Linked DNA regions of Neurospora crassa OR74A. The protein of the gene in region 3 interacts with the protein of the main gene of each other region in a biochemical or structural test. Links are inferred from orthologs where the notes say so. Each region holds a gene or a part of one and is shown on either strand. Other genes may lie near its edges.

The links.
Region 1: the proteins of NCU07438 (region 3) and arp-3 form a complex in vitro, tested with the Saccharomyces cerevisiae proteins (4 studies listed by BioGRID, with this or other methods). The link is inferred for Neurospora crassa OR74A from reciprocal best matches to the Saccharomyces cerevisiae genes LAS17 and ARP3.
Region 2: the proteins of NCU07438 (region 3) and NCU02781 form a complex in vitro, tested with the Saccharomyces cerevisiae proteins (2 studies listed by BioGRID). The link is inferred for Neurospora crassa OR74A from reciprocal best matches to the Saccharomyces cerevisiae genes LAS17 and ARC40.

Annotation. Positions count from the first base shown.
Region 1 is NC_026502.1:2,534,969-2,538,652, forward strand, and holds arp-3 (actin), read left to right. Parts: upstream 1-1,058; 5' UTR 1,059-1,250; coding exon 1,251-1,285; intron 1,286-1,368; coding exon 1,369-1,391; intron 1,392-1,458; coding exon 1,459-1,686; intron 1,687-1,735; coding exon 1,736-1,782; intron 1,783-1,839; coding exon 1,840-1,926; intron 1,927-1,988; coding exon 1,989-2,822; intron 2,823-2,878; coding exon 2,879-2,944; 3' UTR 2,945-3,106; downstream 3,107-3,684. Other genes in the region: NCU01757 (asparaginase), read right to left, coding at 1-46. UniProt on the Saccharomyces cerevisiae protein: Functions as ATP-binding component of the Arp2/3 complex which is involved in regulation of actin polymerization and together with an activating nucleation-promoting factor (NPF) mediates the formation of branched actin networks.
Region 2 is NC_026501.1:9,216,066-9,219,814, forward strand, and holds NCU02781 (hypothetical protein), read right to left. Parts: upstream 2,244-3,749; 5' UTR 2,020-2,243; coding exon 1,797-2,019; intron 1,714-1,796; coding exon 871-1,713; intron 804-870; coding exon 763-803; 3' UTR 472-762; downstream 1-471. Other genes in the region: NCU02782 (hypothetical protein), read right to left, coding at 1-27; NCU02780 (U2 small nuclear ribonucleoprotein B), read left to right, coding at 2,812-3,096, 3,161-3,472; NCU02779 (hypothetical protein), read right to left, coding at 3,651-3,749. UniProt on the Saccharomyces cerevisiae protein: Functions as a component of the Arp2/3 complex which is involved in regulation of actin polymerization and together with an activating nucleation-promoting factor (NPF) mediates the formation of branched actin networks.
Region 3 is NC_026501.1:625,272-629,020, reverse strand, and holds the start of NCU07438 (WASP-like protein las17p), read right to left. Parts: upstream 2,670-3,749; 5' UTR 2,448-2,669; intron 2,269-2,447; 5' UTR 1,869-2,268; coding exon 1,659-1,868; intron 1,603-1,658; coding exon 1-1,602. Other genes in the region: NCU07439 (hypothetical protein), read right to left, coding at 3,334-3,495, 3,578-3,649.

The DNA.
Region 1 (3,684 bases), on a different chromosome or scaffold from region 3:
CTGATTCAGGTGACCCATGGCCGGGCTCGGCATTTTTGCTGCTCATCGTGGGCGCAGCTGTGATAGAACGACTCGAGGAGATAGTCGAAGCAGCGTGTGATCTGGCGAGGTCGAGTTGTCTGGTAATCGAGCATGTGTCTTTCAAGCGAGTCTGTATTCTGAGGGCACATAGAGTCCTTAGTTTTGGTGTGTCATGGGTGACTTTTGTGCCTTGGGACAAAGATGGGCGAAAAGACTTATCGAGGCAAGGGCGAAGAGTTGGAGAAGATCGGAACGGGTGGATGAGATGAAAAGGGTGGTCGGACTTGGTGTCCCTCGTAAAAGCAACCTGCTAAAACAATGAATGGGAATAATGCTCGGTAGTGATAATGTCTTGAGGGGTATTTGAGATTGGAGCGATGCCCAATGAGCTAGATGATGCACTCAGGGTGGCCCGAGGGGTGAAGAGTCCCTTTGGATACAGTAGGTGGGCGGGATGAAGATGTGTGAAGGCAAAGGTGGCAAAATACAGAATACGACAGAGAGAGAGAGACGGAGAGAGAGACGAAACGGAATGTGGACACTGGACAGGTTGATGATTCGTTGTGATAAGTGAGAAGCTGTGAGTGTGTGTAGCTTCTCCGCAAAGTGGACTTGCTTCGAGAGGATGAAGCTGAAATGAATCCGACAGAAATGGCAGGTGTGAGGGAATCTGGCTGGAGGTGATTTTCCATTCAGTATCTCCTTCCTTCTTAGAAGGACACATCCTGTCTGGCTGGCCTTGTCGCTACAGTTTTGATACCGATCGGCCCCACTTTTTCCTAGCCATCATCGTCCGGGCCCGGGCCGTGTGCTTCAAACTCCGATGCTTGGGACCGGGGCATCGGTTAGGTTTCGGGGGGCTCGGATGGCGCGCAGGTGGCAGCGAGGTGTTTGGTTCCGTCATCTCCAGTTATGGCGTAGGTCCCGTCGCTGGAAATGCACAACTGACTAAATGGACCGCCGTACCATACGGGGACCTCGCGGTCTTGGCGCACAGCCGCACAGGTACCTCCACAGTACCACGCAGCGCTGTCAGCCAGACGAGTAAGGAGAGCTAGCTCGGCCAGGCACGTACAATCTTGGACATCAACCTCCATTTCCCGCCTGGCCTATCCACTACCCATCCACGCTCCCGCCCCGTCACTTCATCCATCACCAACTAACAACAGCCGTTGCTTTACCAAACCGCAATCATCACGAGCTGCGCGTAGCAGCACACCACCGCAACAATGGCCAACACAACCCCCGCCGTTGTCATGGACAAGTACGTGCATCCAAGTGTCCCGTCTCCACCCCGCCCGCTCCTTAACAGCTCCGGGGCCGTCATCGCTAACATCCCCTAACCAGCGGCACGGGGTTCTCCAAGCTAGGTTCGCGACTCCGACACCCCAAGATATCCAATGACCACCGATTGACCAAGCTCTTCGTCGTCTGCAGGTTTCGCCGGCAATGATTCCCCCTCGTTCGTATTCCCGACGGCCATCGCGACCAAAAGCCCCTCGGCAGGCACCGGCGGCTCGGGCTCTGGCCGCCCCGCCGTAGCCAACAAGCCATCCTTCCTCACCGGCGGCGCGGGTCCAGGTGGCCATCTCTCAGCAAAGCGCGGAACCGAAGACCTCGACTACTTTATCGGCGACGAGGCCGTAGCGGCCGCCAATGGACCTGGTACGTTGGTCTACACCGCCTCAACGGAAATGGGTGCTGACGGTGTTAGGCTACGGGTTGCACTATCCCATCAGACACGGACAGATCGAGAACTGGGTGCGTTCAGGCTGCTAGATGGCATGTCACAAATGCCTAGAGCTAACTGGAGCTTAGGATCACATGGAAAGGTTCTGGTCCAACTCCATCTTCAAGTATCTGAGAGTAGAGCCTGAGGACCACCACTTCCTCCTCACTGAGCCCGTAAGACTACACTTTCCAAGCCACATCAGTACTACGTCTGCAGCACTGACACGTCGATTCAGCCTCTCAACCCTCCCGAGAACCGCGAAAACACCGCCGAGATCTTCTTCGAATCCTTCAACTGCGCCGGTCTCTACATTGCCGTCCAGGCCGTTCTGGCCCTTGCGGCTTCCTGGACATCATCCAAGGTCCAGGACAGATCCTTGACCGGTACTGTCATTGATTCGGGTGATGGTGTGACACACGTTATCCCGGTCGCCGAAGGTTACGTTATCGGCTCGTCCATCAAGTCGATCCCTATTGCCGGTCGCGATATCACCTACTTTGTCCAGTCGCTTCTCCGTGACCGCGGCGAGCCCGATTCGTCCCTCAAGACGGCCCAGGAGATCAAGGAGGAGTACTGCTACGTCTGTCCGGATATTGTCAAGGAGTTTGCCAAGTACGACCGCGATCGCAGCCGATTCCTGAAGCACACCATTACCCAGCCCGGTGGCCGCCAAGTTACGGTTGATGTTGGCTACGAGCGTTTCATGGCGCCCGAAATCTTCTTCAACCCCGAGATTTACTCGTCCGATTTCCTTACGCCCCTGCCCGTGGTTGTTGATGGTGTCATTCAGTCTTCGCCCATCGATGTCCGTCGTGGTCTCTACAAGAACATTGTTCTTTCGGGTGGCAGCACGCTCTACAAGGACTTTGGTCGCAGGCTACAGCGCGATATCAAGCAGCTTGTCGATACGCGAATCAAGGCCAGCGAGGTGCGCAGCGGTGGAGCAAAGAGCGGTGGTCTTGATGTCCAGGTTATCACCCACAAAAGGCAACGGCACGGCCCGTGGTTTGGTGGTAGCTTGCTCGGTCAGACGCCCGAGTTCCGGTCGTACTGCCACACCAAGGCAGAGGTATGTTTCTTTACCCTTTTACCATTGGCAGTCTGGTTGCTGACGGATCTTTACAGTACCAAGAATATGGACCCAGCATCGTGCGCAGGTTCGCTCTGCTCGGAGGACCTGGTGGATCTTAAGCGTAGTTATTTGTGTACAGGAGCGAGTCCGCATCTTATTTGGCAGGCAGCGGGCGCCGATGCTTATATAATGGCGATGAATAGAAAAGAGGAACTACTTAATGCTAGTGAAGTTGGGTCAGCGTAGACGGCCAATGTGTCTGTTGTTGTGTTGATGTTTAGGAATCCGTTGCGCAGAGCAACGGTCCCCTTAAAAGGGGGGCTTAATGGTACCGATCGGCTGGTTCCGGAGGCGGCGTGCCAAGCCATTGACGGCATTCACTGTAACTCTCGGTAAGCAAGGATGTGTCAGCACCACGACCACCGGTTCGCGCCGGGTGGCCTGATATGGCCCGACAGTTCTGGAACTGGCCGAACTCCCATCGGGCAAGCTAACCGATAGCTTCGCATCAGTTTCACAACTTGCTGATTTTTCTCTTCATTTTTTCAATGTTGTTCCTATTCTCAGCCCATTGATTAGATTCTAATCAGGACTGGGCTCGATTGTCATGTTGAAAGATGTTGCCTGACATGCTCGGACGTCACCTCACAGTAAACCGACCGTGTTCCCAGAGAGCATTCACAGTTTGGAGGGTTCAGTGATCAGATTGCTTACTTTGCGCCGGGCAAGGAGCAAAAGGTTATGCAACTTTCTGCATGCCTTCATAGAGGTCGGTACCATAGGTATGGGTAGGTAGGGTAGGTAGTACGACAAGAATGCGGGGAAGAAGCTTCGTCGCTGAAACCAGGGGTTCCAGACC
Region 2 (3,749 bases), about 8.6 Mb from region 3:
GTAGTCGTAGGAACTGTTGTGGTCCATGGTTCAGTTTGTTGTTGTTTGGTTCTTCTGATCCCGCTGTTTCTTCTTCTAACCAGACAACGAAGTAGGCAGGCAGGGAAGATGGAGGCAAAGCGAGGTAAGTTGAGTTTGTTTGGATAGCTGAAAGGGACGGAGTGACGGACGGCTGATTACTTATGGTAAACTGCTTTTGAAGCTGAAGGTCTGGATGAGGAGCGAAAGGATATGGAATAAATAATCGACAGGGACAAAACAATGGTAGGTATGGACATGAATTGTGACATGCACTTCTCCTGCTGCCGGTTATTAGTTCTCTTATGATCCTTTTATGGAAGTTATCACGGCAAATCGGAATGTGTCCGGCAAGCCACAAGCGGAAGTCAATGAATTGCTTTGTATGTATTGAACCTGTATTTGTTCTTGACTGTGTGTCTGATTCACACATACATATCTTGCAAAATTGGCCGGGCGGTCATGACAAACGGATAGCTCACTGTGGAGAAGTGACATGATAAGTCTCTGTACAATGGGTGAATGGACAATCAATCACTTTGGCGGATACCGGGAAGCACGGATAGGGCAGAAATCAAAGACCGGGAAAGTTACCCGCTAAACTGACATTGATGGATCTTGACTTTGAATCTGATTCATTATCAGCCATTCACTCTTGTTCCATTAACATTAGATGTTACGCTTGCTTGCTTGGCTTTTCTGCTTCCCAATGTGTGCAGCAACCCTCTTTCATCGAGGGGAAATCTAGGTGTGCCAGATGACGACTCTGCCGTCAACACCGCTCGCTGTTGTGTCAAGTTAGCATCAATAATTCTTGAAACCACAGGTCATGTAAAAATGGGGAACACTCACAACTAAACTTGGTCACCCGTCCACCACTCTCCTCAAAGGGCCTCAACATAGTAACCGTATTCTGATGCACCGTCTTCAACATGGTATCATCCTTGCTGACCTTACCCTTCAGGTCCATCTGCTTGAACATGTTCAGCGCAGACTCCTCTCTGTCCTCGTCACCAAGACCCGGTCTTCCTCCGGCCTTGGCCTTCTCCAGCGTGCCGGCCAGCTGCCACCCCTGCTCGCCGCCTTGGAAGCGGAAAGCCTCGCAATCGTAACCCGCAGCAATGATCTCAGTCTCTCCGTTCCAGAAGAGGCTCATAAAGGGCAAAAGCTGCGTGTTGATGCTGATCACCGCCTTGGGCGGCTGCTCGGGCGCAGAGGGGTAGACGACGGTGATGGAGGAGTCATGCGCCGCAAACGCCAGAGCGTCGCCGCTCGGGCTGAAGGCAACAGAATGCACCCATCCGGCAGAGTTGTTCAGGAACTCGCCGCAGACCGTGTTGAAAGGCAATCTCTCGCCCCAGGGGCTCGGCTCGGGGCGCTGGTCGGTGCCCTTGATGAAGGCGGAAAAGACGCGGGCGTGGGCGTCGGTGGAGCCGGCAGCAAGAAGAACGCTGTTGGGGTGCCAGGCGACAGAGGTGATGGTGGATCGGATCGGCTTCTTCAGGTGCTTGGATACCCACCAGTCGTTTTCCTCCTCAAAGTAGCAGATGGCGATGACGCGGTCGCCGGAGCCGACGGCGAACTTGGCTTCCGAGGGAGACCAGCGGACGAAGGTGGCGGCGCGGGAAATACGGAGGAGCACGAGGGTGGGCTTGTAGCCGGTGGGGGAGGGTTCCCAGACGAGGGCGTTGCGGTCTGTGAGTTGGGGTTGGTTGTTAGTCTAGCTGACTGTGATGGTGGCATTATGGGGTGCCTGGGTTGCGAAAGGGGGGGCCTACCCTGAGAGCAGGTCACAATACGCCCGGTGTTGGGAGCAATGTCGACGCTGGTGACAAGCTTGTCATGGCCCTTGAGCTCATCCTTGAGCTTGAAGGCATTGCCGACTCTGCCGTAGAGCTCGACCTGGGTGTCGCGGGCAATGGCCAAGGTCTGGCGATCGGCCGAGAAGGAGTGGTCGGCGATGGGGTGGTGGAAGAGATGGTGGACCTCGGGAGCAGCCATTGTGGGTTGTTAGGTTGGTGTTGTGTAGAAATAAGGTATGCGATAGGAGTATAGCTCTCTACTACCGCGCTCGGAATCGGGGACGGTGATGACGGAGAGTGTGATCGAATGTCTTGGTTCGGTGGTGTCGGAGCCGGATGTTGTAATTGGAAAGGGGAAGCTGTGCCCGGGAACGGGAAGCGGGAGAGCTCCGTAACTACAGCGGGCTGGACGCCTGAAATGAGGTCAGACCGCCAGGCTCCAGGGGCACCGTTGCGGCAGCGTATGGTGGTGGGGTTGGCTGCGGGTGGGTGACGCCGCCAAGAGTGCCCTGCTGCCGGCCGGGGCTGACCCACCTGGAACTGGAACCTACTATGGTGAGATGGGTAAGTTAAACCCGTGGATCAGGTCGTCGACCACACAGTGCTCACGAAGCTCTGGCTGTGGTGGTCCGTGCAAGATACCTGACAAGGGGGTTTTACTTTTGCTCGCAACCGCAGTACCTCCAACAAGCTGCACCCACGCCCGTGGGGTTTGTGTACCGATTTCGATGGTTCGTAGGCTGGCTGGCCACTGTCTCCAATTTTTGGACCAGCATCTGAATTGTCGACATCGCATGCGCCGCCGCGACTTGAATTCATGATTGAACACTGAACATCATACACCCGAGCGACGACGACGACGACGACGAGACAATTGACGATATTAACCCCTACCACGAGGCGCCTACGATATACTGAAAATCTACGCGACAATTAACAACCTGCATTGGACAAACAACAACAGCATCAACTCCCGGATTCCTACGCGGCAATGGCTACGCGTATTGCTCCCCCCGCGGGCCTCCCCCAAAAGGTGGTCTCGAACCCGCCAAACCAGACTCTCTACGTCACGAACCTCCCCTCAGCTAAGATCCAGAAGGACGACCTCCGTACAGCACTATACATGCTCTTCTCCACCTACGGCCCCGTCCTCGATGTCGTCGCTCTCAAGACCATGAAGATGCGCGGGCAAGCACACATTGTCTACCGGGACATTCAGACAGCAACACAGGCCATGAGGTCACTTGACGGCATGGAGTTTTTGGGCCGCAAAATGGTAGGTCTTCTCGGGTTGAATATTTCAGCGGTAGCCCTTCACATGCTAACTTGGGTTTGCCTAGAAAATCACCTACGCCAAGGGCCGCTCCAACATCATCGCCAAACTCGACGGTACTCTCGTGCCACCCAAGGCCGCCGCCGCCGTGGCCCTCACCACCGTCCAACAGAGTATCTTTAGTGCCCCAGTACCAGGCGCCCCTACTACGAATACCGAGAGTCCAGCACCACAAGGTTCGCCAGCCAAGCCTCCCGGGACGGAGACAACCACACCGGCAGAGGAGAACCGGGGAACGAAGCGGCCACGGGAGGAGGAGGAAGAAGAGGAGGAGAGCGATTCGGACGTTGCTATGGAGGAAGACAGCGACGAGGACTGATGGGTGTCCACTATGGCATTTGCTTCTTGTTTAAGATACCAGCTCGCGGTGGGGAAGGATGACGAAAAATGAAGGCGCAATGAAGCGGATGGATGAAAAATTCGCCCTCTCGAAGGACAATGCAGAAGACGCACCGCTAGCTGCATGTACAACATACACCGCGCTACTCCCACTTCCTCTAGGCGGAGGAAGGCTCCAAGGCCATTTCCTTGGGGACCCAAAGGCTGACACAGCCGCCGACGAGTCCAAGCCAAACCATCAGGTAGTTCTCGATCGA
Region 3 (3,749 bases):
GCCACCCGGCGCAGCTCCAGCGGGCGGCAATCCACTGCTTGCGGGCCCACTATCGGAGCCACCAGGAACAGCAGCACCGGAACGATCGCGAATCTGGCTTCTGTCTACCTTCTTCAACGCCCTGATACCTCCCGCGGTCTTGATGCCGTCCAACACGGCCGAACGACTGCCGTCAACAGGTGGCAAGGCAGGGGCGGGCGGTGGAGGCATACCACCTGGAGGAGGGGGAGGAGGAGGGGGAGGGACACCACCCATACCACCCGGTGGAGGAGGCGGAGGCGGAGGCGGTGCGCCGCCTGATGGTGCGGGCATGGGTGGCATGGGAGGCGGCGGCGGGGGAGCATGTGCTGCGGGTAGAGGGGGCGCCGGAGGTGCTGGCGGTGCCGGTGGTGGCGGAGGAGGCGCGCTGGTTGCGGGAAGGGGAGGTGGTGGAGGCGCCTGGGTGGCCGGTAAAGGCGGCGGAGGTGGCGCGTTCGAGGTCGGGAGAGGCGGTGCCTGCGGTGGTGCCGGGCTTCTAGTTGGCAACATGGGGGGCGGCCGTGAGCTCGCAGGCGGGAGGGGAGGTGCTGGTCCCGGTGCCTTGGGAGGCAGAGGAGGTTGCGCAGCTGAATTTCTCGGGGGCGGTGGCGGAGGAACAGAGCTACGGCTGGGAGGCGGCGGGGGTACACTTCGTTGGCCTGTGAATGGCGGAGGAACGCTGAACCTCTGGCTCGGGTCCTGATCTTCGAGTGGCGTCTTCGGCGGCCGGGGAGGTGGTGGAGGTCCAGGCGCAGAGGGCGTATGTCGCGGGGGATCAGAGTGGGCAAACTTGCCAGCATCGGCGATGGGAGGAGGAACAGCAAATCTCGGCGGAGGGGCCGGTTCCTGGTGGTTTTCCGTGTCGAGCTTGCCGGATCTCCTTGCTGGAGGGGGAGGCGGGGGTACTGGCCCTCTCCTAGAGGTCGATGGAGTTATCGACTCGGAGACACTGCGCGGAGCAGCAGCAGGAGGAGGTGGTGGGGGAGCTCTCATTGCGGGACCATTAGGAGGAGCGGATGGCGGCGGCGGCGGCGGCGGAGGAGTGCTCGTGTGTATACCCTGCTTCGCTTGCTCCTGTTTCAAGAACTCAATGATAAAGTCCTGGTTTTCGCGGATGAAGTCGTCGTCGAGGCCTTGGGCCTTGAGGTCGTCACCGAAGTGTTCCCTCCACAGGGGATCGAAAGCATCCAGGGTCGCAAACTCGGAAGGAGGCTTGTATCCGTTTATTCCATTAGTGCTTCCAGCTCTCATACGGCCTGCCGGTGCAGCGGCACGTGGCGACTCGGGCGGGGTGGCTGTCGGAGACGCGTGCTTATGTCCTCCAAACAGACCGCCGAAAAGACCGTGGTGCTTGTGGTGGTGTGCCTGGGATGCGCCTCCGAAAGGTGTCTTGCTGGTAGCCTTGCTGGCGTTCTTTTCCCTGTCGTTCATCTTCTTGAGGAACTGCTTGGCTTCCTTCTCGTCCACGAAGGACAAGCCAGCCAGGCATTCCTCAAGCTCGAAGGTATGGAAGAAGACACGGTCCTGGTTGTAGTTCCAAGTGTCGAAGATCTCCTGGTCCCATATCACTCCCCTGTTTCCGGGCTGTCCGATGTCAGCCAAATGGTGGCCAGCCACGCAATCGTCATTTTCACACTTACCGAGATATCAACCATCTTGATCCAATATGTGTTGCCCACGAGATCATTTGCCAGAACGACGGCACCCTGGAGGCCGGTATAGGTCCATCTGGACGGGTTGGGGTAGGCTACATAGAGCCTGGCGACGGCGACGGCGTGGATCTTGTTGGTCTGCTTGGGCACGCAGCGCTTGACCGTTTCCTTGTCGTCGTCGCTGAGGATGGACGGCATCGTGAATATATATGGGGGGTGGAAGCGTGGAAGTGGCTTGAGGTAGGTTGCGGCCTGTCGTCCCCTTTAGATCGTCCAGGGGGAGCAAAGCATGGATAGATTGGGAGTCGTTATGCGGAAATTCGGTAGAAGGACTCGGCCGGCGGGCGCAGCGCCGAGAGGTACTGTTATGAAGCTGAGTCGTCGTGCCTTGATCCGGTCGGCGGGTCGGTCGGCGAGGGGAGGGGGGCAACGTCGACCGAAGGGTGAGGTAGCAAGTCGGAAGTGGGATGTCGTATTAATGCTTTTCGGGTCGTTGGCGCTTGTTATCGACGGCCAAGTATCTTGTCGGTACAAGATAAAGTAAAGCTCCGCGCTTCCGTGGCCTTGCCGCGTAGGAATAAAAGCAGTTGACGGAAGCCTAGAAGAGACAATGGAAGTTGCCGGTTAGCTAGAGGTAGGTCTGGGTATTGGAGGCACGGATGTTTGGTGGTTGGTGGGAGGAATAAGGAAGACTCGGCCGCCCGGATGTCCAATGACTGAAAGGAGCAAAAGCAGATACTGAGTAGAAGAGACGGCGGCAGGCTGGGAATAACGTACCTCGGACAATGATCCAGCAGCCTTCAGTTGGCAAGCTTAGTTATAATCTGCCGTGAAAATTCAATGTATTAAAGCTGTACAGACTACAGAGAGAGGAGCAAGTCCCATTGCAAGGTAGACAAGAAGGAAGTTGAATTGCGGGTGTACCTGGCAAGAGGTTCCTTAGGCATGCAGTGAGTGTACACTACTTAACTACACTATGTACGGGGATTGGGAGTTGCATCACTACGGCGGCGGCAACGACCGGGCTGTTTGGCTTTGACTGAATGGAATCAGGATGGCAACGAAACCCCAGCAAGCCACAATGACCAATTTCCGACGGGAAGCGACCAACTTGTGGACATGAACCAGATAGCGTCATGACATTGTGCCGGGGGTGGATAGGGCGTCAATTGTCCGTGTCCACTAACAGTGGGTACCTATCCCTCAACTGAACCCCTCCACTATTCCCGCCCGCCGCTTGCACAGCCGACCTTTCGCTTGCCCGCCGTGATGATGGATGTCCAACGAGACGGTTCCTCCGAGAGCTGGGTGTTTGAGGGACATGTTGAAACTGGCAATGACAACAACTTCCATGTGCATTTGGAGGTTATATGGCTCAGGTTGATATAGGATGAAAGTAGTGTAGGTATGTACGAACATGGGATGACATGAAAGTACCTACCTACCTTCACATGCTAACATTGCTCCCATTTGAGACAACTTTCGAGGACCAGACCCCTCTCATTTGGGCGCAATTCCACCACCAAAGTCACTTTAGGCTCCAACAGGACTGATCCATCAGAGTAATTGTCAAAACAGTTCAATTATGTTATGTGTATGTGTGTGTATCATTCAGTCATTGCAATCATTCCATCCATTCCCCTGTTTGTCCGAGTCCATATCTTTACTTGTTGAGCGTCTCGGCCTTGGCCCTGCGCTCCTCCTTGGTGCCCTCCTCGCCGCCGATGTTCTGCGAGATGGCGGGACCGGGCATGGCCTTTGACGCCTGCTCGAACGTGGCCTTGGCACTATCAGCGAGCTTGTTGAGGGGGTTGTTGGGGTTCTTCTATTTGTTTGGCCAAAGAGTCAGTTTTCTGTTTTCTGTGATTCACACAAGGCACCAGACTAGGGAGGAAATGGTAACGTACTTGCTCGTCCTTCTGGGTGTCGTGGGGAAGAATGTTGACTTCCTTCTTGCTGAGATCGTCGCCGCCGGCCATTGTGATGGTCTTGATGTTATGACTTGTCTTGATGGTTCGTGAGGAGTGGGTCGTAGTGAGACAACTGAGAGGAGTCTTGATCAACTTTTTCGATATCGTC